2 linked regions of the Oryzias latipes genome follow. The protein of the gene in region 1 interacts with the protein of each later gene in a pairwise test. Links are inferred from orthologs where the notes say so. Each region holds a gene or a part of one and is shown in the gene's direction. Other genes may lie near its edges.

Region 1 (3,383 bases):
AAAGCTCTTGCATTCACTGAACGCAGGTTGGGTGATCTTTCACCAACCAGAGACTAGTATTTGGTAGTGACGTATGAATGGTGTCCCTATTAATTCATTAAATTGATCACGGAGGAGAAATTAATAATTGCGGTCTGTGCCCGGGTGAAATTATGACACCAAGTCTTTTATATGTCGGAATAGAGCTGTGAAAGAAAAAGCCTGGAGAAAGATTTGCGAGATTTGCACCACTTTGACATTTCTCACCAAGCCTTTACTAACTGTAGGTGAAGGACATGTGCTAGCCCCTCCCTGCTTGTCCAATGTGAATACAGTGGGCTACTCGCACTTTAAAGAACCCACGTATAGCGCGTTCTTAAAGTGCGTCACATGCCTGTGTGTCCGCACTAAGCTTCAGTCCTCAAAATAAGCTGCAAGGGCTGGTTTTGTCCCTAGCTCATGCACTGTTGATGAGAATTGAGTGAATGAAGTCTACATGAGCCACAAGGACCCCTACAAAATGTGAAAAAAACAGATACTGCCTCCCGAGGGGTCTTTGAATCGATGATTATTTAGAATAACATCAAACTTCTTTATGCTTATTCTTATCTATTGCTTCCTATCTTCATAAAATCCAAATGATCAACAGTAATTTGCACCTAAATGAAAATTAGCAAACATTTAAGGGAGTACCTTCAGCAAAATTTTCCTTGATGACTATCTAGAAATTGTGTTGTACCAATAAACACTCTCTGGCTCTTAAACCAGGCTCTGAGCAGCATGCATTTTGGCAATGACCCTACTTTGGTTAATATATTGATATTTTGCTAATTCAGTGATGTTAATAACCTCAGACAGCTATCAATAACTGATTAGGAGAGACCCTGTTTAGAAAGATTTCACAATGATTTGGATTGTGTTGCCATCTGAAGTCAAATTTCCACCTCCTTCCCAAAAACACACAAACAAAACCGGCCTCTGAAGTGTGTGAGTCGTGGAGAGCAAGCAAAGAGTGAGCATGCTCCCTGGCAGGTTGTCCTCAGGCAGAGCCCATAATCCTGTTTGGTTATTAAAGCACGCCGCCGGTGAATGCTGTATCTGCGGCTAATGGAGGCAGGACGGGGGGAGTTTGAGAGAAGGAAGGGGAGCATAGAGAGCTGCCAGCAGTTGGGGGACCTTTGTAGTTTTGGTGGAGGCTTGGACCCCGGGGGGAATCTGTGGAGAGGGGTGTTCGCAGAGCAGCCCATATTGAGCCAAGTGGCAGAAAGAAAAGCCTCACTGCTCCCTGGGGCCTCTTCGATGGAATGTGATCCTACAGCCCCCCCAGACACGTTAGTAGATGTCTGCAAGGCTGCAAGATCAGGAACAGCTAGACACGCACATGGAAAAACACACATGTACACCCAAAAAAACAACGAGAACAGAGCATTCACCTGCGTGAGAGCCTCTTGGTTTCGTGGAAGTCTTGTGAAAATCGTATCCAAAATCCCATCACACAGTAAGCATATGCTGCTGCAGCTTACATTCAAAGCTGTTTCCAGCTCCAGACATAGCACTCAAGCCACAGCATGTGTTGGAGGTGTTTGGTACAATCCCCAGTTTCCCAGTCTGGAGATGCTAAACAAAAGGTTATCCTTCAGAGTCATCATTTTAGTAAAACGGTGACAATCAATGCATGCAACAGAAGAAGAAAGTATGGTTTGTTGCAGTGGCTTCTGCTCCTCCTTTTATTTCCTACTCACAGGTTCTCCCTTCTGTCTCATCCTCAGGTTCTAGAGCGTCTCCAACAACGTGGCTTTGAGATCGCCGGCTCCTGCGGTGGAGGCGTGGACTCATCCCAATTCAGCGAGTACGTCCTGCGGAGGGAACTGAGGAGAACAAATCAGCGAGGCCCTAATTCAAACAGGATAAAGCAGGAGCAGCTGGACTAAAACCCTCCCGAGCTGTAGGAGGCACTAGACTCTTCTGTCGCGGTCAAACGTATGACGCTACAGACCTCTGTGGACTATTTTTCTTCATTTCCTTGTTGATGTTCTAGTTTTCTTAAACTTAAGAACCATCTAGGGAATAACAATAAAGTGCAAGAGGAGATTTTTGACATGAGAAGATACAAGACATTTGAGAAGTTTGAGATTGCAAGGACATTTGTGATTGTCTAGCCCCCATTAAACCAATTCCGAAGGATTTATAAGAGCTGGATACCCAAACAAAGTTTATTTTAAAACTTGGAGCCTACATTAGGTTGAATATAATTTCTAATTTACAAACATAAATTAAGTCTTTTATTGCTGATGTTGTACGTTGACTAGGTTGTTATTGGTGGATTGATTTGGTTGTCAAACCGACAAACTGGCCCAATTGGTTTTCAAGTATTTAATCTAAAATAAAATAGTGTTGCAATTGTCATAAAAATTTGATTTCAATGATGCATTTCAAAAAGAATTTCCAGTTAATATTGTTTATATTGTGATACAAATGAAGTGGTTTTGCATTAGTTGAGATTATTTTAATGTTTTGTGCCATGAAATAAAAAAAAGATAATAGTTTCATCAAAGTTTAAATTCCTGATTAAGGCAGTAAAAGATATTATTTTGTAATGTTTTACACCATTTGCCTCATTGGGGGGTATGAACCTCAACTTCATGTGCAACATTGGGACTTATTTAATTGGATCATAACCTTACCTTGAGTCTTGTACATTTTCATTGTATATGTGTTTGTGTTTTTTACATTTTTTAAAGCTAATTTGTTGCCTAAGACATGACTGAACAGATTAAAAGTTATTGTTCTACCCAACCACAAGATCGCTTTTTTTTTTCTCTGATGATCAAGTTGATATGACGTATATAAAGTATTTCTAAGATTACTGGCCTACGCTCCCTAGTTTTAAGAGGAATGTAGCAAAAAAAATGTGAAATAAATCTCGGCTAAAATTGTCATCTGCTCTTTTTACTGTGCTGCACAGACTTTCCATACATCTACAGGGTGTGAAAATGATGCGGGACTTTCCGGATTTCTCACATTTTTTTATCAGTTTGACCTTTGTGAAATCACATTTTTTCACGTCTTGGTATTTCTTAGCTCTTTTTAACCAGAGAAGTAAAGCAAACTATCAAGCGGTGTTCTACCTTGGAGGTTTATGTTGGTGCATCGGAGACTACACAGGACACTGCTTATATTGAATGGAGTTGACTTCTCCAAGCAAGTTCTGTCAGTTGTGTTTCCACATATTCCTGCAGGGCCAAAATCCAAAGTGAAATCCCACACAGAGCCCTGTCATCTTGTCTCCGTTCCTTTTGGCAGAATCTCCACTTTCTTTGGCTATCTGCCGTTTATGCTATATGTCTCCCTTTTGGGCCTCTTTGCCCCAGATTCCCTTTAAAGCTAAAAGTTAAAAGACCAGA
Region 2 (3,182 bases), on another chromosome or scaffold:
TTTAGCATCACAGTTTGACATCTTTTCTGTCTGTTGCTGAACCACAGGGAGACTTTCAAAATCAAAGACGTGTTTGTTTTCAATACCTAGAACAGAGAGGAGGACTGGTGTTATTACGCCATTTGGAAGCGGTTTCACACTCACATGTGTGAACAAATATTAGCTCCTATTTAGACTGATTCTACAAGAGAAAAGCTTTTACAGCACTTATGTAATCAAAGGTTTTTCCAAAGCTTTAGCTGACACCAAATTGCAGATAAGATGATGTTTTCCACATAGTTGGTTAGGTTTTGTGGGACAGATGCTGGACTTCTCCCTGCCAGAGAAAGTTGTTTGAATCCCAGAAGCTTCTAGTCTGAATATGTGAGTACATCAAGCACACATTTTAATTGTCAGATCCTTCATGTTACAGGTGACGAGCATCAATTCCAGGTTCGCCAAAGTGCACATCCTGTATGTGGGCTCCACGCCGCTCAAGGACCTGTTCAGAGGAACCATCAGGTGAGGCAGAGTGGACGCAGCAGATGTGGCTGTTTTAGTGCTGTCTGACGCTCTTCTGTGTGTTCAGGAAAGAAGACGTTCGCGCCACAGAGAAAGATAAGGTGAGCGAGATCCGTTTGGCCCGGCGCCGTCCGTCCTTGCTGGTCTGACGTTGAGCTTTGTTTAGGTGGAGATGCACAGAAGCTTTAGACCTGGGGACATTGTTCTGGCCAAAGTGGTATCCTTCATATTTCTTGATGCTCCGCGCACAAAGCTCAGAAGCTGGCATGGCAGACCTTAACCTGACGCTAGATTTCTCTGGGAGACGTTCAGTCCAACTACCTGCTGACCACTGCAGAGAACGAGCTCGGAGTGGTGGTGGCGCACAGCGACGCAGGTGAGCGCACGGTCACCCTGCTGTGACGGGACGGCGGTGTTCAACCACCGGGTCAGACGGGAGTTCGAAATATTACAAAATAGAATTTATGTCATCCTCTGTCCTCGCCTGCCCTCATATGTGGAAGAAAAGCCATGTCTGTGTGTGTTTGGGTCAGCGCATATGTGTGCAAGTTTGTGTGTGTGAGGTAGAGTTGGCGTGTGTGCGTGAATAGCGTGTCATCTGGACCCCACAAGATAACAGAAGGGTTATTTATATGCACCCGTATTTATTAGCATTTGTATGAGGATTTATGTTGGTGTGTATGTGTGTTAACATGCGAGTTTGTTCTAGCATGGATGTGTGTGAATGTGTGTTAGCATTTGTGTTAGGATGTGTTGGTGTGTGAGTTTGTCAGTTTGATTTTGTCTTGGCATTTGTGTGCTTTGCGTTGGTTTCAGTTTTTTATGTTTGTGCTGACATAAACTCTAACCTTTTTAACGCCGCGGACCGGTATGACGTCATACAAAGTTTTCACGGGCCGGTCTATATGATGTGGCCGACAATTATTGTAGCAACGCTACACTGAAGTTAAAGCGCAGGCATGACAAGAAGAATCCGTGCTTTCATTTTGACACGGACGTCACTCAGGTGTCATCATCTTCTCCCCTTCCTACACTCCTGGTGCAAAGGCTCCTCTTCTGTCTCCTGGCTGGGCGTTTTTCCCCTTTTCACACTTTCCAAAGACGTTTGTTTTTTACTAATTTTGCCAGCTCCTGGGTTTTATTTTAGCGGGATCCTATCACGTGACCGAGAAGAGAACCTTGGCCTGCGTCAAGAGTGACATAGACGGATGGAATAGGCTCCGTGCACGAAAGTAAGGAGTTCTACTTCCGCCGCCTTGAGTGTGAGGCCGACCATTTCCGGCTTGCGACTTCTATAGCAGCGACACGGCAGATTTTGATTGCGAAAGATGGCATATTTCACCCGTTTTCTACAAGGTCTCCCGAAAATCGACGTGAACGACATCTATAGGATTGTCGACCAGTGCGTGGTTACATGGGCAAAATATCGTGTCGAAAAATATAGTGTACAAAATACCGAAAGGAAATGTGTCCCGTTGTAAACAAACCTGTGCTGTCACATATTTATGCAGCAGCTCGGTAATATACGAGGCGATCTTCCAAACGTGCTTTTATTAATTTTATGAATATTATGAAGTGCCTGTTCGATCATCATTTTATATTTAATCCTTGTGGTCAGTGCTTTTTTTTTTTTTGTGGAAGAAGAACAGAACTGAAGAACAACCCAGTGTTAGGATAGGCTAACAACACGGGCTAACAACATCAGCCTTTATTTGTCGGGGCACAATTAGAAACACGATTCCATGTGTCGTGATTTTTTGAACAGTTTCTAAGGACTGAGCGGCATTTCTGCTCTGTAAAGCTCACACACTGCCCCGTGACGGCTGTGTAAGCTGGCCGCTCGAGCTCTGCTCTGTCCTCGCGAGTCCGGCAGCCGCTAACCCAGAGCGGCGGCTCGGCTCGCAGTCCGAATTCTCACACATAACAAAACGCACACGTAACAAAGCACCCTCCCCTCAAACACATTAATAAATCCAGCTGATCTGCTCAGTCAGAGGTTCATTCGGTCCACTGGCTCCGGAGCCCGAACGCAGAGCTCGGATGCTGGGTTTCAGACGTCAGTGGACACGCACCCCCCCCCCCCCCCCCCGCATCTCCCTCGTGAGGGGTGAAAGAGAGGGGAGACCCAGCGGGGCGAGAGCGGAGCGGCGCTTTACGCGGGGCGTCCGCAGAGCCGCTGGTCGGTCCCGTATGAGCTCCAAAGCTTTCTCTCAGCGAAACACCGTCAATGCATGACGTAACCCAGAGCAGCAGTGACACACGATCGGAATGACCGTTTACATGAACAACGATCGGTATACCCAGCTATCTCGATCGGAAAGAAATTTTGATCCAAACGAGTCTGACCGGGGCAAAGTATTCCGAACGGTGTGTTTACATGACGTATTTTCTTTCCGATTGCTGCAAATACGAAACACGACTCGTCTTGTTTGGGGTGAAGTCCTCCCGCCGTGTTCACCATCATTCGGCTCTCACCGACACATATACTGGAAAGCTATGAAAGCTTATATTAGTACTGTTGTACTTTGACAAATTCGCACACGGGTATACACAACAATGTTGTGATGTCTTTGTCACGCGTTGAAACACCAAACTCCTTTCTTTTACCCGAAATCTGCTCCTATTTACTCAAAACTAGCAACTCAACAAAACTCCCCACAACACTAACACGACCAACAGGT

The links.
Region 2: the proteins of kctd1 (region 1) and exosc1 interact in binary tests that used the Homo sapiens proteins (3 or more experiments, as listed by UniProt). The two-hybrid records come from large-scale screens. The link is inferred for Oryzias latipes from reciprocal best matches to the Homo sapiens genes KCTD1 and EXOSC1.

Annotation. Positions count from the first base shown.
Region 1 is NC_019875.2:25,794,111-25,797,493, reverse strand, and holds the end of kctd1 (BTB/POZ domain-containing protein KCTD1), read left to right. Parts: intron 1-1,748; coding exon 1,749-1,910; 3' UTR 1,911-2,778; downstream 2,779-3,383. UniProt on the Homo sapiens protein: May repress the transcriptional activity of AP-2 family members, including TFAP2A, TFAP2B and TFAP2C to various extent.
Region 2 is NC_019859.2:28,382,262-28,385,443, forward strand, and holds part of exosc1 (exosome complex component CSL4), read left to right. Parts: intron 1-412; coding exon 413-501; intron 502-568; coding exon 569-602; intron 603-667; coding exon 668-718; intron 719-792; coding exon 793-877; intron 878-3,182. UniProt on the Homo sapiens protein: Non-catalytic component of the RNA exosome complex which has 3'->5' exoribonuclease activity and participates in a multitude of cellular RNA processing and degradation events.